Caenorhabditis elegans: one gene and its partners. The protein of the gene in region 4 interacts with the protein of the main gene of each other region in a pairwise test. Each region holds a gene or a part of one and is shown on either strand. Other genes may lie near its edges. The genes, in order: cbl-1, ZC15.3, pnp-1 and cla-1.

What was found.
Region 1: the proteins of cla-1 (region 4) and cbl-1 interact in a two-hybrid assay, tested with the Caenorhabditis elegans proteins (one large-scale study listed by BioGRID).
Region 2: the proteins of cla-1 (region 4) and ZC15.3 interact in a two-hybrid assay, tested with the Caenorhabditis elegans proteins (one large-scale study listed by BioGRID).
Region 3: the proteins of cla-1 (region 4) and pnp-1 interact in a two-hybrid assay, tested with the Caenorhabditis elegans proteins (one large-scale study listed by BioGRID).

The regions. Positions count from the first base shown.
Region 1 is NC_003279.8:9,325,945-9,331,463, forward strand, and holds cbl-1 (plant cystathionine gamma-synthase), read left to right. Parts: upstream 1-1,912; coding exon 1,913-2,028; intron 2,029-2,073; coding exon 2,074-2,130; intron 2,131-2,462; exon of another isoform or gene 2,463-2,546; intron 2,547-2,682; exon of another isoform or gene 2,683-2,761; intron 2,762-2,830; coding exon 2,831-3,365; intron 3,366-3,435; coding exon 3,436-3,521; intron 3,522-3,898; coding exon 3,899-4,010; intron 4,011-4,059; coding exon 4,060-4,305; intron 4,306-4,352; coding exon 4,353-4,492; intron 4,493-4,716; coding exon 4,717-4,780; 3' UTR 4,781-4,984; downstream 4,985-5,519. Other genes in the region: uggt-2 (UDP-glucose:Glycoprotein Glucosyltransferase), read left to right, coding at 1-114, 161-285, 334-460, 784-990, 1,068-1,217.
Region 2 is NC_003283.11:20,302,001-20,305,416, forward strand, and holds ZC15.3 (CCHC-type domain-containing protein), read left to right. Parts: upstream 1-1,587; 5' UTR 1,588-1,619; coding exon 1,620-1,848; intron 1,849-1,902; coding exon 1,903-2,345; intron 2,346-2,400; coding exon 2,401-2,697; intron 2,698-2,744; coding exon 2,745-2,807; 3' UTR 2,808-2,908; downstream 2,909-3,416.
Region 3 is NC_003282.8:292,238-300,166, forward strand, and holds pnp-1 (Purine nucleoside phosphorylase), read right to left. Parts: upstream 6,044-7,929; coding exon 6,024-6,043; intron 2,440-6,023; coding exon 2,356-2,439; intron 1,881-2,355; coding exon 1,592-1,880; intron 1,453-1,591; coding exon 1,226-1,452; intron 1,177-1,225; coding exon 1,080-1,176; intron 649-1,079; coding exon 409-648; downstream 1-408.
Region 4 is NC_003282.8:7,608,834-7,613,722, forward strand, and holds the start of cla-1 (Protein clarinet), read left to right. Parts: upstream 1-1,846; coding exon 1,847-1,929; intron 1,930-2,002; coding exon 2,003-2,064; intron 2,065-2,442; coding exon 2,443-2,511; intron 2,512-2,605; coding exon 2,606-2,919; intron 2,920-3,809; coding exon 3,810-3,854; intron 3,855-4,126; coding exon 4,127-4,176; intron 4,177-4,221; coding exon 4,222-4,269; intron 4,270-4,389; coding exon 4,390-4,806; intron 4,807-4,889. UniProt on the Caenorhabditis elegans protein: Required for synapse development in the active zone of presynaptic terminals of specific neurons including serotonergic NSM neurons.

The DNA of each region.
Region 1 (5,519 bases), on a different chromosome or scaffold from region 4:
ACGATTCCCAAATTGGCGGAATTCTATAAGTTTGAATTCGAGCTTGTCGAGTACAAATGGCCAAAATGGTTGCATAAACAAACGGAAAAACAAAGAGTTATGTGGGGATACAAGGTAAATCTTATTAGAATTTTGGATAATCACACTTGAAACTTTTCAGATTCTATTTTTGGATGTTTTATTTCCTCTAAATGTGGATAAAATCATCTTCGTAGATGCCGATCAAGTTGTTCGAGCTGATTTACAAGAATTGATGGATTTCAATTTAAATGGGGCTCCTTATGGGTAAGAATTACAATATAAGAACCCAATTAACTGTTATTATTCATTCAGATATGTTCCATTTTGTGAGAGTCGAACAGAGATGGATGGATTCCGATTTTGGAAAAGTGGATATTGGAAGAATCATTTGATGGGGCGAAAATATCATATTAGTGCACTTTATGTTGTTGATCTTAAGGTATATAAGGATTAATTTTGTGGATTACGGGAAATTGGGTTTCGAAAAGTTTGTATATTTTTAAAGGAAGCTGTGAAAAACTGTGCGCCTTTGAAGAATTACAGTAGCTTCCAGACTTCGTTGTTTTACAATTTAAGTCGTGGAAAACGAAGTAGTAGAAAAATGGATCTTATACAAAAAAAAGTGAAATAATTGAAGAAAACGAAGTAGAATCAAGTAGAAACTACCGTACTCTTACAAGGCTTACAATCTTGTTCGTAACAAAATATTAATTTCATTTCCTATCTAACGTGCATGTTCTTTTATAATACAACATTTTTCAGGCGTTCCGCGAGTTCTCAGCTGGAGACCGCCTTCGTGGTCGGTACGACAGCCTATCTGCTGATCCGAACAGTCTTTCGAATTTGGATCAAGATCTTCCGAACAACATGCTTCACGAAGTTCCTATTAAATCATTACCTCAGGAATGGCTTTGGTGTGAGACATGGTGTGATGATGGAAGTAAAGAAAAGGCAAAAACAATTGACTTGGTGAGATTTAATACTTTTAAGCACTTTTTGTGTTAAACCAATATTTTTAAAAAATATTTTTAAAAAATGTATTTCAGTGCAACAATCCACTGACAAAAGAACCAAAACTGAACTCGGCAAAACGTATTATCAAAGAATGGACAGAATACGATTCAGAAATTTCGAAAGTTTTGAATTCTGCAGATATCAACACTCCATCACCATCAGTGGATCGAGATGAATTATGATTTTCCTGTATTTTTTCATTATTTGAATTTTTTGTTTCTTAAACTGTATCCGAATTATCACAATTGTGTTAAAAATTGTATTACTTGAATGAATATGAATAAATATTTTATGAGCTTATACAAGGAGGAAGGACGGCTAGAAAACCCATGGCTTTAAGCAATCCAGTAACAATGTTTCAACAATTCCAAAATTACCTCTGCTTTCGGGGGGATTTATTCAACTTCAAGATGTTCTTGTAAAGCTTTTCAAAATAAAATAATCTGCGTTCGGGGGGAATCGAACCCCCGTCGAATGCTTGGAAGGCATCCATGCTGACCATTACACCACGAACGCGGTGATGTAACGAAAATGGATATAAAAAGAATAAAATATCTTTATATGTACGATTTTATTGGGATTTATAGGGATGCATAGTCGGAAAATCAAGTTCCCGTCTTTTAAATACCTTTTCCATCCTTTCTTCACATAATCGCCGCGTTCGTGGTGTAATGGTCAGCATGGATGCCTTCCAAGCATTCGACGGGGGTTCGATTCCCCCCGAACGCAGATTGTTTTATTTTGAAAAGTTTTACAAGAAGAATGAAGTTGAATAAACTTTGCTGGCAAATTTTACCTCTACATTTCGTTGAAAATTTACCAAAACCAAACTAACAAAACACTGATAATTTTAAAGTCATCATGTGGAGACTAACTAATGATAAGAACTGATAATCTATCTGATCTTGCATCAGCGAGAGATTATTGGAGAACTGATAAATACATTTCATTTGTAATCACATTTCAGTTCTATTTGCTGTTGGACACAATGAGGTAAGTGTCCACACTGATATTCTCGTATAGTTGAAATTCTTTTAGTGACAGTTTCAACTGGCCAGCTGGAAATAACGAGGCAAGAGAACGTTTGGGAGAAAAGTGAGTTTACTGAATTTCAAGGAGTTCCCCGGTCATTTTCTAAAGTAAAAACTAGGTTTTTTAGGCATCGTAATTTTCAGTTTCGTTGCATTTTTTATTTTTCAATGTTTAATTGACTACTGTAGCGCATCCATCAGAGGTAGGCACGGTTTCAAGGCCTGTGACAGCCTGAAACCTACCGGCCTCCTCGTCTAAATAATGCATTCTGGCGTGAAATTAAAAAACCTGGAGATTGAACCACAAGTTGCGATAGGTATATGTGTTTCTCCTATGCAGAGTTTGCCAGCAAATGTGTTCTAGGGCAAGGGTGTTCTGGTAAAACTTTAAAAAATAAAACAATCTGCGTTCGGGGGGAATCGAACCCCCGTCGAATGCTTGGAAGGCATCCATGCTGACCATTACACCACGAACGCGGTGGTTTTATAAAGAAATGATGGAAAGGGTATTTAAAAGACGGGAACTTGATTTTCCGACTATGTATCCCTATAAATCCCGATAAAATCGTACATATATTTATGTTTTCTTCTTTTTTATATCTATTTTCATCAAATCACCGCGTTCGTGGTGTAATGGTCAGCATGGATGCCTTCCAAGCATTCGACGGGGGTTCGATTCCCCCCGAACGCAGATCAAACTTTTTTGAATGTATAAAAAAAGTTTTGTTAGTAACGGAATTGTTTTCACATATCCTTTTAATCAGATTTGAAAGTCTCCACTTGGACAGTCGAATTTCAACATCTCATGCAAAACCACTTTCAAATGCTGATCCAGTAGTTGTTCCAATTTATCATTCAAGTACTTATCGTTTCAAAACAGTTGATCAATTCAATGAAGACAATCACGGTGCCAACTTTGTATATCGTCGATGCGGAAATCCAACAACTGAAAATGTGGAAGTTGTGATTAATGAGATAGAAGGCGGTGCAGGATCCCTCCTATACAACTCGGGTCTTGCAGCGATTAGTGCAGTTTTTCTGGAATTTCTGAGTTCCGGTGCTCATATGATTGTTATGAACCCAATTTATAGTGGTACATCATCATTTATTAATGAGACATTGGCTCGTTTTGGAGTTGAAATAACTTCTGTTGACGTTGAAAAAGAAAAGGATTTTGCTGGAGCTGTTGAAAAAGCAATTCGGCCAAATACTAAGATGATTTACTTTGAATCAATTGCCAATCCAACGATGGCAGTTCCAGATATTTTGGGAACAATTGAAGTGGCAAAGAAATATAAGGTTAAAAAATATACGATTAAGAGAGCTAGATTAATTATTCAAGTAATCTATTAATTTTACTGTTTTTCAGATTCTTACATGTCTTGATGCAACTTTCTCATCTCCATACAACATTCAACCACTGAAACTTGGAGCAGACATCAGTCTTCATAGCTGGTAAGACTAGTTATTCCAAAATTTAATTCATAGGTGGATCGAGTCTCAAAAATAAAACGGAGATTGGCAGTTGAAAATTTGTCTAGGCCACATTAATTTTAAAGTAAAACTTTCCATTCTTTTAAAAGCGTCGAAGGAGAAGCATCAGTAAGGAAATGATTTGAATCATCTCCTATAGTGTTGAAATGTCCAAGTAAAAGACTTTAGTAAAAAGCTTCCAGTTTTTGAAATTTTGGCAAGTAACCAGAACTTTGACTGGAAACTTTGAACAATTTAAACATTTTGCAGTGTTAGGTGCTCATACTGAACTACAATAAATTTGATTTTACAAAACTCCCACTGATTTTTTCGTAAATAAAATTCGAAAAGAATTGCAGCTCAAAATACATTGGAGGACATACGGATGTGATTGCTGGAGTTGTTACAGTATCATCTTATGATAATTGGAAAAAACTTAAACTTCAACAATTGACGACTGGAAGTTCTTTGGTAAGCAGTTTCTGAGTAGAAAAAAAAACAAAAAACTTGAAACTTGCAGAGTCCATACGACGCTGCCCTGTTGACCAGAGGTCTCAAAACTCTTGGATTGCGAGTTGATAGGATTTCAGAAAATGCTCAGAAAACTGCAGAATTTCTAGAATCCCATCCAAAAGTTGAACGTGTCTTTTATCCAGGACTTCCATCCCACCCACAGCATCAATATGCTAAACAAGTAATGAAACAATTTGCTGGAATGATTGCATTTGATGTTGGAACTGCTGAAAATGCAATCAAGCTTGTTGAGGCTAGTTTATTAATCTAAATGAAAATTCTGAAGAATTATTATTCCAGAGTCTTAAACTAATCATTCATGCAGTATCTCTTGGTGGTACTGAATCTTTAATCGAACATCCTCTGTCAATGTCTCATGGTAAACATTTACTTCGATATTTGGATGGTCCGACTGTTGCCCCTGGACTTCTCCGATTTAGGTACGCTCTGAGTTCTTCTGAATCAAAACTTTTGTATTTAAATTCTATTTAAAGTACATAACAGAAACTTTCTATCGGCAATTTTGACAATATCCGATTTTCAATTCGAAAGTGCTCCCTTAAAATTGTTTTGGCCATTTTATTTTTTCCAGTTAAAAACATTTTTTAAAAATAACTTAAATAGGAGTAAATTATTAGAAACTACAATTTAATAATTTTTGCAGCGTTGGCATTGAAAATGTGGAGGATATTATTGGAGATTTGAATGATGCCCTCGAGAAGCTTTGAGCAATTTCTTCAACATTTCGAAATCATTTCTCTTTAAAAAATTAATAACTTCTTTTTTCAGTTTTTTTTCAGATTATTGTCAAAAGTCTATAGATATTCTATAAAAGTTCAGAAAAATCATCGCTTGTGCCGTCTCACTTTTGTAACAAATGAATTGCAATCAGTGATTTATTGTACTTCTCCTAAATAAAAAAGATGATATACAATAGAAAATGTAGAGAATTAGAGATTAATTGACATGATATCTATTGACAGGAAACAAGATGATTCTATCACTAGTGAAACGATTAAGAACTTGATAATATTGAATGTATCTCAAAAGGAAATTATATTGCTTAGAGATCATTGATTCTTTAGTAGAAGTGCACATTGAAAATGGCAATCACTATCAGGAAAACTGGAGATTGGAATTTAGAAAAAATCTTATACTTTTCTGCAAAAAAAAACCGCGCGATTAAGAACTCGGAGAAACAAAAAAAAACATTTTCGTTGCTTGCTAATTAGCAAAATTTTCCAAGTTTCAATTTTGTTTCAAGGACGTCGACAAATGTTTATCTTTTTTTGTAATTTTTGGTTTTGTCAACAAATTGAAAAAAAATCTGTTGCAAAACTTTCCAAAAATTAAAAAATAATGAAATATGGACTTTGAAAAAACAAAAGATATTTTTGTCGTTATCATATTCTCATACCTCTTATCTCTCTTTCTGTAATATTCTCTCAATAGATTCTGTCTCTATTG
Region 2 (3,416 bases), on a different chromosome or scaffold from region 4:
TTGGATGTTTTATGGATTTTTTTCTGGATTTTCACGCATTTCTTCGCTCCACTCGTTCATTTATTACACTTTTGTGACGTCCTATCCACAATAAGTCTGCAATTTTCCAGGATCGAGCACACTCACGCTTGGACATGCCAAACAAGAGCACCGACGACGATAATCCTCCGCTGCCCTGCAGCTGCCCAGCTTCTAGAAGCTCAGGAGATGACAGAGCTCCAACACCAGCGTCAATCATCTCGCTACAGCGTCAGGCATTAGCGGCGGTCCTGGACGCCAGACTACGAATGAGTGCAGAACAAGCTGACGACGAGCAAAGACAAAACGCTGATCGACGCGCTCAGGATCAAAGGGAGAGCTTCCGACGTCTCCGCGAAGAAGCATCAAGCTTCGCCGACTTCTTCACCAACGCGAGATTGCCAGCCATGAGGACCTTTTCGCCAGGTTAATATCGAGAGTATAAAGAAATGACTAACAATTTTTATTGTTTTAGAGGCTGCCCGCAGCTCCTCCAACTCTTCCGGCAGGAATCCACGCATGGATCAGGATTTCGAACTGGCAATGGAACTGGCTTGTGAAGAAATGTCGGCGACACACGCGAGAGCCCAGCCGCCCATCAACTATGAAGCCAGCAATTCCCCAGAGCAACCATCCAGCGAAAGCGACGAAGAAGAAAGCGTATCCAGCGCAGGTATGACAGTTCATAGAAAACTCTCATAAAAATCCAATTCGATTGTAGGAAGTGGTTCCATCACCCCCACGGCCGCCCTCGCAAACGTTGTGGCTCCACTGGAAGCAACTGTGGCCCGCATCGGAACCCAGATCACCGCGATTGGCAATCGAGTCGACGAGCTCTTCGAGCAACAAGCCCACATCTCTCGCCAGCTCAATCTCATCCTAGAGAGCGGCCCACGTCCCTTCAAGCGGATTATCATCAATCTATAGGCTCAATTCAAGGAAAGCGATTCCCAACCGAAGCAAATCGCCGCGTTTGTAACCATCCACTATCAGCATTCGGAAATGGCTGCCCTCTTCAAGAAGACCGAAGGAAACACGTTCCATAAAGAGGGAAACGTCGTCGAGCAAGCTCCATATATCGCAGGAGCGGTGACGGCCAAACGCAAGGAAATCGCAAGAGCTGCCCACGCTCTCCAAGGACCAGTGGCTCAGATCACTGCATCAGTGGATCAACACTTCATCAGAGTTGGCGCGGAGCCCGAGATGCCAAGACCAATATGGACGTCGACAAGATTGACCGCATCCAGTCTCCGATACTCCGTCAACACCACCACGGAATTCAGACGAAAATTGGTCGAACTGCTGAGAACCGACAGCTTCCGAGACACCCAATGGATCACCATTCTTCCCATATACCCTCCGGATAAAGAGGCTGCCCACGACGAAGCAGAAGCCGTCGAAGACGTGGGAGAAGCATCCGATTAAATCTAATTAATTGTTGATTGGTCTTGTTGGCGCGGCTGACCACCCGCATTATAAATGTTCTGTTTTGACTGATTCATGCCATTTACGTTATTGGAAACCGGTTGCAATTACCGTGATAATATCTACTCTCGCTCAATCATAATCGCTCTAACATTCCTTCATTCAGAACTGCCATCATGCCCCGCGAAGAAAGTGAATCTCCACTATTGGTCTACGAAGATCCGAGACATACGCCGTACACGCCGTTCAAGTATGCCAGAAAGGACGAGGAAGAGAGAAGCTCCGGAGGAGGAAAATCGCCGCCCAAGAAAGCCCCAAAAGCCCAGGATCGCATGTCACTCCGCGACAAATTTGAGGCTGCCCCCACCACCAAGAAACGCAAGACGGCTCAAGACCCAGCCGATGGTGAGGAGAAAAAACTAATTATGCAGGCTAAAATTGATAAACCCTCCGTTTCAGAGCTCTTACAAGCCATCAAGCCACTCTTCAACCAAGTCAAAAAGGAAATGGCCGATCAACTGGCTGATCAGCTCGGGAGATTCAACGAGCAACTCGACATGGCGGTCAACTCCTTCAGCGACGAGATAGTGAAGCTGAAGGCGGATCACGCCTTGGCCGAAAAGAATGTGGATACTTATGCCCAAAAGGTCTCAGGAATGTTCCAGCGCGCGGACATGATGTCTGCCAACGTCCAGGAGCAGCGAACTCAACAAGCCGAGGACAATCGTATGGCCTCCAAAGCGAGAGACAGGATCATTTACGACATCGCTCAGGTCGCCACCAACATGAAGACGATGAGCGAAACCATCGCCAAAATCGACGCTCGTGAGGAACAGGCTGCCCAAAAGCAAGCCGAGCGCCACACCCCACAAGGAGGACAGGGATCGTTGGAGCCAGCGCTGGTGAGACTTATATTTTCTCCTATGTCAGGGTAGAATATGCTCATGAATATTACAGAAGTGCCCACTGTGCAAGCGTCATCACGCTCCGGAAAACTGCACCATTATAAGAAATGGACTCGATCGTCGCGAGGAAGCCGAAAAGATCAAAATGTGCATTCAATGCCTCGAAGTCGGCGTGACAAATGACGATTGGGTCCACGAAGGCTGCCCAAAGGAGAAGGAGCAGTGCACCAGATGCACCAAATACATGAAGCCAGGAGAAATCGCCCAGACTCACCACAACGCCACATTCTGCCTAATGCTCACCTCGAAGCAGTACAAGCTCGAGCGCAAGGGATCCCCATCCGATCGTGTAAGCGTATCCTCACGACACAACGAAACAGAACAGTAACATTTCAGGATTACTCGCCAAAAGGCCGCAGAGGACCAATTCGTTCCCGCCACAACCGCTATGGAGGCTGAGGACGCCGCAGAGACAGCTACCATTAAGCTTCTGCATACTCGCTGCCCCCTCCTCATTATCATTCCCGTTGTTGGATTAAACCCGTTGTTATTGTGGCCAAGCCACTTACCATTGTTACTGTTGTTATTGTTCTTTTGGCTGCCCATTCATGGGATCTTATCTAAATAAAGCCTCATCGTCGAACTTCTTCAATTATCACCTCATTTATCCGTTCAAGAGTCACTCACTCACGAGATATTTTCAAAACATAGAGAAAGGGATCCACTCGGAAAAATTAATCCAGCTCAAAACCCCCACGGATAGGAGATAGAGACGCAGATACCTCTAAGCCGGCGCTAATCACCACCGCCCGCTCTACAACTGCACTAATACCTGCAACTTTCGGAAAAGAAGCGCTAACTCCGCGAAGCACATTTATTCGCAGCGCCTAAGGACCTGACAGCCCATACCCTTTAGGTCAGAGCTTCAAGCAACGGGGTCGAAACTCGCAGCCCCAACCTGATCAAAGAGCCCCATTCACAACTCGGAGATCAGGACACCAACCATCTCATTAACTCACAGTTAATGTCAGCGTGTCGTACAATCCCCCAATGACATCGCTCTATTGC
Region 3 (7,929 bases), 7.3 Mb from region 4:
ATGAATTTTAATGTAGACCTTTCCATTTGACATCTGGAGGGCGCACTTGTAGGACACACGAAAAGTTTTAGAAGTTGCTTATATGAAGGTCCTTTTTCGAATAACGTAGCTTCTGTATGGTATGGGTGTCAAAATTTATGCCCAAATGATGTCCATGTTGAGCGATCACTATGAAAACCAGCAACTTAAAAATTTCAATATGATTTTTATATGATAAATCGGCCAAAAGGTATAAACATACAATTGTACATATTGTCGGTTATTCTATTCGATCAGATGCTATACTTTGTGGGGCGATGTGCGCCTTTAAAAGGCTAAAAAAGAATGAGTAAGTGAAATGGAAGAAGAGAATCGAGTGAAATCAAGAGAATGAAAGCAGGTTATATCATAAAAGATCAAGGAACACATTTAGAGAGTAATCTCCGTAATGATATCCGACACAAAACGGGATGCTCGTTCACCGGCTTGTTGCGCGATATCCATAACTTCTTCATGTGACACTTCGACTGATGCATCTGCATCCAAGTTTGCAATATTGGTAATAAGAGAGAAACCAAGGACCTTAATTCCACACTGACGAGCTACGGTAACCTCGTGGCAAGTTGACATTCCGAGTGCGTCGGCTCCGACTGTTTTGAAGAGTGATACCTGGAAAATTGAGTTCGAGTTTGAGCACACTCCATTATTATGGCACCCCAGGGCTTTCTTCAAAAGTTCTCTTCAAATCTCTTTCATACGAATTGTCTACGGCTATGATTGAGTTTTACTTTTTCAGCTGAAGAAAGTTGAACTGGAATTTCGACAGTGTCACTAAGACCAAAAAATCAAACTTCCGAAGGAAACGCTTCACTACTCTATCTTATCAAACCAGTGTATAGTATGAAATAGCCTTGAATAGGCATTTATGAATACGCTAAAGCAAAAGTCACGTGGTTTCTCTCAACGGTTTTTCAAATTCTCAGGATCAATTAAAATGGCTTATGAACGTCTACTCTTTGACCAAATGATGCCTAGTTATTTTGAACTATACATATGTTTTTTCAGTGTACCATCAAAGTTTCTGAAAAAAAGATTTTTACCTCAGCTGGTGACTCGTATTGTGGTCCACCGGACATCACATAGACACCCTCGTACAACGTCATATCACTACGACGGCCAACATCAATGGCGAGTTGTCTGGAAGAGTTTAGTTAATGGAACAATTTTTCTCAAAAGTTACCCTCACCTAAGCTGCTTATCATAGGCATCATGAACCGATACAAATCGGGCTCCAAATCTGGGATCGTTGCATCCGACAAGTGGAGAGAATCCGGCAAGGGCCGGAAGGAAAATATGATCCTTGATGAGCATCAAGTCTCCGTGTCTCAACACGGCATTGATACCTCCCGCTGCGTTGGAGACAATCATGATCTTGATACCAAGCTGGTGCATTACACGGACTGGGAGGGTGCACTAAAATGGGCAAAGTTACCGAAACATTTTCGTGCAAGCTTTTTTTTCAGGCTATTTTTAGCATTATAAGAAGCCAAATTCAAGCTCAATACCTGTTTATGCCCCTTAAATTTTTAAATTCCTAACTTCTTCTACTCACCAAAGCCAAATCCATATTATGCTCGTATGGGTGAAATCTTCCTTGCAAACACACAACCTTCTTTCCTCCTAGCTTTCCAAAAATCATGTTTCCTTTGTGCCCAACGACATGGGTTGTTGGAAATCCTGGAATCTTTGAGTACGGAAGGATAGTGGCGTCTTGAACAGTGTCTCCGATTGGTCCAAGACCGGATCCGCAGATGATTCCGAGGTCGGCTCGGGCAACATCTTCTCCTACTTGCTCTCTGATTGAGGCGGCCACCGAGAGCACATCGTCGTAGTTTCTGGGGCTGAAATAAGGACTGTTTGATCTTTCTTCTGCTATCATGTCATATCGAAAATCAGAACTTCAAGTTCCAATCATTTCTGATTAAAAAACGGTTTAAAATCGAAAGCTGTTAAGTTTGAAGCTTTTCGCCTCATGTGTCTTATCAGTGATAACATGCGATGCGCTAAACGTGCACAGAACATCTTTTGAGAAAAAAAATTTTGAGTGGTACTCACAAGATTTATAGGTGTTAAACTAGAGACTACTATTCAATCTACATTGAAAAATGTAACGACAACCGAATGCGGTTTTCCAAATTTCACCTCACGAGTTTTCAACTTTGTGGATACCTATTGGATTTAGTGTGGAAACTTAAGAAAAATACACTTTTAAAACAAACTGTTGCTACGCGGCTTTAATAAGTAAATGAATAAATTCAACGTGGGTCTTTCACGTCTTCCTTATATTCCTAGAGTATAGGTTCCACTCAAACTCACTCAATTTTCTGATTGTGCTCCGCAGCGTTGGTTGGTGAATTGTTGTTCTCCATGGCTGGTGATAGTGAAGTAGAAGTGGTGAGTCTGCAATTTTGAATAAGATCATAAAAGTTCTAGTCCGAAGAAAACATTTCGGACGCCAACAAAACAATATATGAGAAGGCTACAAAAACAGTTTTATTATGTACTGTTGGAGGGGGCTGGTGAATACTGAGACTGGTGGAGGGTTCTAGAGAAAACACAGAGATAGGAAATCATGATCGTTTTTCTCGTTGCCCATTTATTTTTCATTGAAAAATCTCACGAGGTCTTAGGAATATCAAGTACCCGGAAGGGAGACGCTTGTGGGTTTGGGCAGGGGTGGCCTTTCAAAAGTTAATGGTTTTGGGGTGGGTGTTGTCCAAGAAAAGTTGGAGATTTGAAACATTAGTTTGAGGAGTTGAATGAAAAACTGTCACATGGCTACTTTCAAATCACATTAGGCATAGATAACGCCACGTGGAAGCCAATGAAATCAAAAAGCAATCATACTACATTCAAATCCAAACCCATAACTTAAATCGTTAAATAAGATCGCCCAGTTGAAGCTGGATTTTAAGGGATCTTTGCCACATGGCAGGTAAATTGGACTAAAACTGTTACGGGATACGTTTTTTCTTGTTGCTTCAAAATTCGAATTGTGCCTAATAATATACAACACTTTGAACATGCATTTTTATTTCTCGCTTCTTTCTCACTTATCCCATTAATCTCAATCATTTAAAGTTTTTATGAGTTCTTCTGATAAAAGTGTTTTGCTCTTGATATTGCAAAAAAATAATTTCAACTTGACATCATCGAAAAAAAGAATAAAATTGTTCACTCTTTTGCTCAAAAAAAAATTGAGCAATAATTACACTTGCAGTCCCTGGCAGAATTGCGTTTCTATTAATATTGCTGACAACATGAAAAAAAGATAGCTCAGATTTGATTTTAGCGCTTTTTGAGAATTTAATTATTCCTCAAAATACTTCCAACTATAAAAGAATAATAGCTAGCTTGTCGACTATGCATCGAAATCAAGAAGACAGTCATCATAATGACAAATGTAAATCGTGAAACTTCCCACGTTTCAACCTAGAGCGAACCTGGAGCGCGCGCGTGGGGTAAAGAGGTTGGGAGAAATGAATGTGACTCTGTCCACATCAACCTTCCAATCACTGATAACAATGTGCTCTCTCTTTCTAACCTAATGATAATAATAAATGGGCGGTTCACTGGCGAAGAGCACACAGCGAGAATAACTATTTTTTTTAGCTGATTCAGTGATCATTTCCGAGAATTCAAAGGTTTTATGACCCAGAAACGGCTAGTTCTCGAGAAATTCGCATAACTGATAAAATGAAAAAACGTGCCGTTAAATTTGAATGCTCCGAAAGGAACAAAAAGAAGTGTTGGGTATCAAAGTGTCGCGTGATAAAAATTTAAAGAAGGAACATGCAGAGACAGGTGACACAATCTAACAACAGACTGATATCAACAGTACGTGGGCCCTAGACTAACCTCGTGACTATTACGTACGGAATTGTAGATCAAAGTGACACTATTTTGGGTGCGAGTAGAGTCGCTTAAAAAAAGGTATTTAGAATTCCAACGTTCATGTAACAAATTAGTGTTAGAATATTGGAGTTATGATGGTGTTGAAAATTATAGTTTCTGCCACCATGTAGATTTTTTTCTTTAAAATAATATCAAGTTAGTATGATAATGTAAAAATTTAAAACAAAATTGAAAAGTCAGAACGACTGAAATTTACTCATCTTTAATGTACAATTTATAGTAATCAGTTTAGTAATCATGTTTTGAAAACAATGATTGAAACATGAAAAAAAAACATGAGGAATTTATAAAAAATTACGCACTGGTTGTTAGGTATTTGATTCATTGTATGAAGTAAACAAGGTAAACAATTCCGCCTCCAAAAATAGGCACATACCTGTGTTTCTGCCTATTGCCCAGGCTCTGATTTTTATGTGAACACTTAGTAAAGATTTTATGAAATTTCAATAAATTTCATATATGTTCCGAAAAATTCAGCCATATTAGAATGCATTTTTTTTAGTATGCGAGGGAAGAAGTGACATACATTGTCAAACACTCAATAGATGTTATTCAATTTTTGCAACGTATCGTTTTACTGTTGAAAAGCAGTTTTTCAAAGTTCCACTACAAAAGTAGACAAAATAATTCTTTTCTGAAAATCTCAATCGATATCTAAATTTTTATTAAAAATTACATCAGAATTTGATTCTCTCCGAATCAAAACTGATAACACAATTGCGGGAAAATTTAGGTGGGGAAAAACTGAAAAGTATTCCTGCCGCTACAGTTGTAAAATCAAAAGTAACACAATTTTTATCAATTTTTCTAATCATTTATCAAAATGTCGTCATCATTTTTTGTGACCACGTGACACTGGAAAATTGAAAATTTTCCCCTATTCGACTTGTTTATGACAGTTTTGGGAAAAGGGAATTATGTTAAGACGATTAGGGGTAAATAATCAGGAAAAAAGAAACTCGGGCAGAAACATCCGTTTTTAAAACTGAAAATAAGCTGGAAATTTTTGAGTGTCATTTGAAATTCAAATTTGAAATTATAATAATTTTTCGATTGTGAAAAGAAAATGAAAAAACATAGTTGGAAAATTGATGATTGTGTAAAGATACCTTACTCTAAACAGCCCAAGTTTCAATATTGAAATCTTCAGTGCATTTTTTCACTACTTTCGCAGCATGTAAAAATTCACTAAAAACTGTTTTTGTAAAGTTTTTAAGGTAAACGTTCTGGAAAATTAAATTTGCAATGTTTTTTTATCTGAACATTTTTTGATCGGGTTGATCGAATCGGTTTTTTACAAAATTTTAACATTTCCAAAAGTCTTCTACTCCTTGAAACACCGTAAAACATAACATCTTATAAAAAAAGGATGTTACTTCCCAAATTTGAAATTCGGATAGTTTTTTAGGACGGCGGTAAATGACTCCTCAAATGTAGATATTGCCTTATGCCTACAGGTGTTTCATTTTAAAGTATAAATGATTTTTTTCCTATGTAAATTTCCAGAAAACAATAAAACTCCAAACATAAAATCGGCATTGAAATAATTAATCAAATGTCCAACATAGCAGAACGATAATACAAACAGATTCAATCAAATTTCCCATTTTTATTATACTCAAAAAATAAAATACTCGGTTAATACTATACTGAAATTTAGGATCTTTTTCAATTTGGCGCGTGGCGCAAGATGCTTTTTAAATACTAAAAAACTGCTGTTTGAAAATTAAATACAGAAATTTAAAAAAAAACATATATTTTTTTAAACAGTACTAAAAATTGGTTTTAATAGAGCAATTTTGTACACCCATGAGTTATTAAAAATATAGATCTACATTAAAAAAGAAAATGACTCGACTTAAATGCACTTGAAATGAAATAATTTTTCGATACGGATGGCTGATTTTTTATCGGCAAAAAAAAAACAAAATTGACATGATAATTGACTGAAAAGTGTGTTTTATTGGAGATAATTGGTGTCAACCATAATGTTGAACTTTTGAGACTACAAACTACACACGTTTCAGGAAACCAGAATACAGGTAAAAATATCAGAAAAAATCACAAACTTTTGAGTGCAGTTTCCCATTGTTTGAAGAAAAATCGAGCAAAGAAGCGAGTAATCGGAAGAAATGATTTTTAATAAACCCAATAAAATTTGCAAAAAAAATTTTCACGTTCAAATGATTTTGAATTAAAAAATTTTTTGCAAATTAGATTCTATTTTATGAAATTCACTGATGTGATTTTTTAAATATCGGAGATTTTTTAGTTTTTTTAAGTTGTGAAATATTTTTGTGAATATTCCAAATAATTACAGCTTAAAAGTAAAGACTTGACCCATTTTTGTCTTAGATCTCCAAGTTTTCACTAAGTTTTTTATTGTTACTGGTTCTGAAAAGCAAAAAACACTAATTTGAGTTTAAATAGCACTGTAAAATTTTTTTTTCAATAAAATAAAGAAGACCAAGATCCGAGCAGCCTATATTGAGCTACACTAATACTATATCAAATTTTTTGTAATTTTTCAACTTTGCTTACCTTTTCTAATCTATCTCGTTTACGTACTGCCTTTTGATTTACTTTTATAAAAATCTTGTGAACCGTTTTCTTCATATTATCCCCTAACTATCAACCACCTGCAGTACTTTTTAGTGTTATGTTTTTTGCATGTTTTTTGTACAGAAACGAGAGGACGACGAACAAAAGTTGTATGTGGTTATCATTTGGTTTTTTATTTCATTCCATACCATTCAATCAATCATTCAGTCTCATCTCTCTCCCATATTCCCAATATTGACAACACTAGTCATCCCAGTAGTCAGTGACGATGATATGGTCAACTACTTCTACTTGAATGAGACAACGGAAACACGCGGAAAATAGTGCTGAAACTGGAGAGATTTGGAACCGAAGAGAACCTGTTGGAGAAGAATGAATGTCTGGAGGCCGAGATTTTTGAAGAATTCATTGAAAATTGCGGACATTTTGAAAATGTTAGCCAGCTGATACAGTTGGAAAAGCATAAGGCACACAAATTTGGAAAATTTTAGGAATAGTGAATTGATGACGTCCACGGGGCAAAGCTAAACTATCATTGGTTTTCACAAAAATTGTCAACAAAAAGGATAACTATTACCAGGTTCCAAATAGCATTCAAGCTAAAAATTAACTCTTATCTAATCGTTCTCATGGTATAAACTTCTAAATTTGGAGCGCGGGGCTAGAGGAGACTCGGTTCGTCAGGTCATACGTGACGACTATGCTAAATCATATCACAGGCTCTGACAGATGAAATTTTTCAACAAAAAAAATGGAATTTGTATCACATTTTATGATCAAAAATTAACATTCCCACTTCACATCACTTTTGTAATTCACTAACTAAGTTGCGACTAAAGTGATATATTCTGAATAAATTTCTAACTACACTATCCCTCTACAGGACCTCAATTTAAGCCACGTGACAGCTTGTCGACGATCTCAAAATTCTTATTACAGGTATAGTATGATTCTACCGGAATGAAATTGTTTGCCAGATAGCTCCCGAGTGTGTTAATCTTTAGTGAACGTATCCAAGGTGACCTGAAAATGCACTCACTACCTTCTGTTCATATTGGATGAGACAATTGAAAAACAAAAAAAGTATTATTTTCGGAAAAACCCCTACATAAATCGCGCGGTGCGTGATCTCTCAACTATACCTTTTATCATATTTTGATAGACATTGCCACGTTCATTGACATTCGGCGTTACTTCCTGGATCTTTGTTTTTAAACTAGCATAATATTTAGGTATTTGTGGATACAAGACCTAGCAAAAAAATCACGCATTACCACGGTTATCAAAAGTCAAAATAAGCAACACCTCCCATTGTACTAATGAAATAACTTATTTTCGGTTTTTGGTTCATTTTTAACATGCTTTGTGTTGTTTAAATAAGTTTTACTACAGTTTAAAACAGTAAAGGCGTGG
Region 4 (4,889 bases):
AATCAAAGCAATCTCTTAGTGGTCTAACCCAAGAAGAGCTAGATAACATTGCACAGGCTACTGAAAGTGCTCAGCAAGAATCTAAGCAAGAGCTCACACAAGATGAAATAGATCACATTGCCAGAATTAATGCTATGGCAGCGGAAGACTTTGAACAACCCGCAGTTAATATGAATCAAGGATTGTCACAAGCAGAGAAAGATCATATCGCTCGTATTGAGGCTATGGCAGCGGATGATTCACAATCTAAAATCATTGTTCCTCCTCCTTCAATTATCCAAAAAGATATTGAACTTTCAATGGAAGAAATGGATCACATTGCTCGAATAGCTGCAATGGCTGACGAGGACTTTACACATCCTGTTAAAGGAGCTGTCGCGCCAATTTATGATGAAAATTATAGTAGGGACGATGGTGCAATTGATAGATTCCCAGCTTCGACAGCTACTCCAGTGTTTGCGCAGCCGTCTGAAATTGAACTTTCTGAAGAAGAGCGTGAACATATTTCCAGAATCGCTGCAATGGCTGAAGAAGATTTTAATACACCATACGTTTCAACACATCCAACACAGCAAATTGAAATAGAACTAACGGAAGAAGAAAAAGAACATATTGCAAGGATCGAGGCGATGGCTTCCGAAGATTTAAATGCGCCATCTCCCTTTATCCAACAAGAGCAACGAGTTGCGACAATGCCAGTGCCAATTAATTATCATGTTGAAGAACCAACTCTATCGCAAGAAGAAATTGATCACATTGCAAGAATAACAGCTATGGCTACTGAAGATAACACTGATCTACAAACTCTACCAACTCCTCAAGTTAAACAAAATGAACCGGAGCTCTCCCAAGAAGAAATAGATCACATTACTCGAATAGCTGCAATGGCAAATGAAGACTTTGGAATGTATCCTTCAATTGTTTCTGAACATCCTGCTCCAGTTGAATCTGAACTTACTCAAGAAGAACTTGATCATATCGCTAAGATCACAGGAATGGCATCTATGGACATCAGTACTCTACCACCTCCAACAGGAAAACCATCCGAGACATCACTTACTCAGGAAGAACTTGATCATATTGCTCGCATAGCTGAAATGGCATCAGCAGAATATGATGTTCCTGTAAAAATATTCGAACCACCAGAACTAACTCAAGAGGAACTTGATCATATAGCAAAGATTACTGCAATGGCTGCACAAGATGTCCAACTTCCTGCCACCCAAAGATCGATTACTCATAAGGTTTCGTTGACTCCACCTCCTCCTCCTCCTTCTAAACACTTTGAGCAAGATCTCACTCAAGAAGAGCTTGACCATATTGCAAGAATTGCTGAGATGGCTGATATGGATTATAACACTCCATTCACTGCTGAACCAGTTCAAGATGAAGAAGAAGAACCAATAACAGAAAGTGGATCAGATGCAACATCAGGTGCTGATATATTCGATGAACAAGAAGATGCAAGTTCAGGCGCCAGCGGCTCCTTCGATAACAACAATGCTCAAGTGCTAACGAGCGGCTTCTCTCCAGATCGAGTTACATCTCCTGCTGCACTTGACACAACTGAAGAGCCCCAGGGTCCTATTATGGCTCAGAAGGTGAGAAATAGACGTTGTTTTTTGTGTGCGAGCTGTTTCTATTTTCCCAGCCATAAATACTTTTTTTTCACATTCACCATGTTGCTATGCATGCCGTGGCAATGCAACGGTGTCATTAAATATTATGCAGATAGCGTGACAACTCCCAGATTTTCAACTTTTCCCCTTTTTTGACTACTAAACACTACTATCCAACAGGATTTTATGATTTTCAGACTGTGTCTCCGACGCCATCAGCAGATTCGATGGCGTCACGGAAGAGTAGTGAATACGACATTAGAAGTATATCAGAGATTAGGCAAGAGTCCGAGTCGGATATCGGAAAGTGGTATGCTGAATTTTTAATAAACCTTTTTTTTTCTTTTTGAAAATTAGTGTTTCAATTTTACTATTTTGTTCAGGTATGAGGAGCAACTCAGTTTCATGCGACAATCGATCCACGATGAGGAAGAAGATGTGGGGCGTAAGTGGTTTAAAAAAAAAACTTTTATGCGCTTCAGTGTAGGTACACAGAGGCCTACTCACCTACCTAGTATAATTTGCTAAAACAAATTCTACTCGACAAGAGAATTTCTACAGCAAAGAAAGCAAAAGCTAGATAAAATGTTATCAAAAATATTTTACAAGAGTGTTTAATTAATTCTTAATTCTACAAAAAACAATTCTAATTGCAATCAGCAGACTTTTATCTGAACTTTCAAAATTTTCCACTATCCACTCTGTTTTTGACTCAGAAAAACGTCCAAATAAAAGAAATGACTGAATATAATTTCATTAGACCTATGTAATACAAATATTACATTTTTCTTCTCTATTTACTTTTTTATTTTTGAAATTTCAGATGAAATTCGAACTGACGTTGAAGAGTTCCCATTGGAGTATGTTGAGGATCAACTTCACTTCCTTGAAGGTGAGTTTTCTGTCAAAAATGAAAAATTCATAGCACAAATCAAAAAGCGAGACGAAGAGACCAAATCTCAAAGCAAAAAAACATATATTTGCAGGTATTGACGTAGAGAGCCAACACCATGAGCCCACCACTTCTTCTGCCTTCTTTGGCACCGGAAGATCGATTGGTGAAGGGGAAAAGAGAAAATATGGTGACGACGCCGTGGAGCAGCAAAAACTGGAGAACTACGAAGAGGAGGAGAAGACGAAGAGTAGTAGTCGTGAGGCTTTTGATGATGGATTTGAGACGCAGAGAGAAGAGTCGTTGAGGGCGCAGCAGACACCCATCGATTCACTGCCGGGTAGTCGTATGTTGAAGCGACCCAATTTCGGCTTCCTTTCTAATATTGCAAATGATGCTATTAATAAGGTAAGTAATTGAATATTCACTATGACCTATCAGACTTCACCGTTTGAAAAAAGACCATGAACAAAAAACTAAAACTCAAAAGACTACGTTTTTGAAACTGTAAATGCGCGAAGCTATTCAAAATATTTTCAGTCACTATAGAAATTGTTATTTTTTTTAGAGCTGTTTGACTGAAAATAAATAATTGTCCAAAATTGTTTGACAGGTTTTATTATGATATTTGGTATGGATATTTGAAATGATTTTCCAATAATGTAGAACATATTATGTTGCAACAATTTGTTTTTTTCTGTTATATTCAAATTTACTGTTTTCTAGAAAAAAAACATAGAAATTATGTTAACATCTAAGAAACTCTTCAATCAGCATTTTTTCTTAAAAATAACTAACTTTTACATGCAACATTTTGAGAATATGAGTAGTTTTTTATACACACAAATTTATATATTACATGAATTCATTTTCAAAAAAAAAAAACCATTTCAATGTCAGTATACAAAACCAATTTCGCAGTGTCTTTGACTCTCCAAGAGCAGCTACGATGGGCTCGTTACTCACGGAATTCGACTTTCCGGTCTTTCCAAAATAACGCAAATGTGTTGTTCCCTCATCCAACAAACACTATACAATCATTTGTTCTTCCTTTTTTCTTTTTTTTTTTTAGCGGTCACACATACACCATTCCAAAAGATGTACCCATCGTTTTGGTCTATTTTCCACTTTTTTATGTTTTGTTGTATGTGTCGCTTATGCATAAATGTAGGGTGTGCAACAAAAAGAAACACTTTAGGATTCGGCTCGGGGGACCCCCATGCCTCATTAATTTTTTGCGAGAAGACATGCGTGTGCTCTTCTCTCCTTGTCACTTTCGATAATTGCTCTTTTTGCAGGCAAAGGAAGCGGGTTCGCAAATCCAAGCCGCCGTACCCATCAAGGTGAGTGAACTTTTTTCTTTTTATTCTCTTTCCGTAGGGCTTCCGACCCAATTCAATTATGGTAACACGATTTTGATCTAGATCTCATGACTAAACGCTCACGAGTTTTTCACTTGATTGATTACTTTTTTTTGAGAAACTGCTTTTGGTATTAATATTATAAACAAACAATTAACTAATTCACAAAACGGCTAATGTTTTTAAACATTACTTCTGTAAATTAATTTTTTTGAAATAAATTAAATAACCTCAAAATAATAAAAACTTTTCAGCCATCCTCTTCATCATCAAATATTGTCAACAACAATGTCTTCTCTAGCAGGTAATTGATATTTTGTCAAGTCAACTATAAAAAAAACAATTTCAGCAAATCCTCAACCTCCCTAGGCACCAGTGCTCCAACCAAATCTATTCCGTAAGTAACATAAAACATTCCCAGTATATCAGATTACTCCCCGCACGTACACTTTTCTACCTCCCCTCTTCTTTTTTCTTTTGATTTTCATTTCCTAAATGGTTAATTTTGAAATTACAGCTCTCCACAAATCGGTATTCCGATGGATGGTCTTTCCGAAGAAGAACGTCGACAAATCATGTCAGTTATGGCTGCAGCCGACTTTGACGATTCTGTTAATAATGTAAAACCAAGCACAAGTGGTTCATCAAATATTCCAGCAGGAATGGAGGATCTTTCGGAAGCAGAAAGAGAAAAGATCATGTCAGTTATGGCAAATGCAGAAATGGAGATGGGCGCACGTTTCCCTCCTCCTTCAAGTCAAATTCCAACAAGATCTCCCAGTGTTATGAGTTCAAGTATAATGTCCGAATTACCACCTGGACTCGATGATTTGTCAGATGATGAAAGAATGAAAATTATGGCAGTTATGGCAGAAGCTGATATGCAGAATGTGCGAAAACCCATTGCAAGAGGCCCACCACCAATGCCACCAAGGTTAGTTAGCCGACAATGAGACACCAAAATTTTAAGATTATGAAACACAATGAATGCTTCAAATTTCACTGAAATTATTTCTG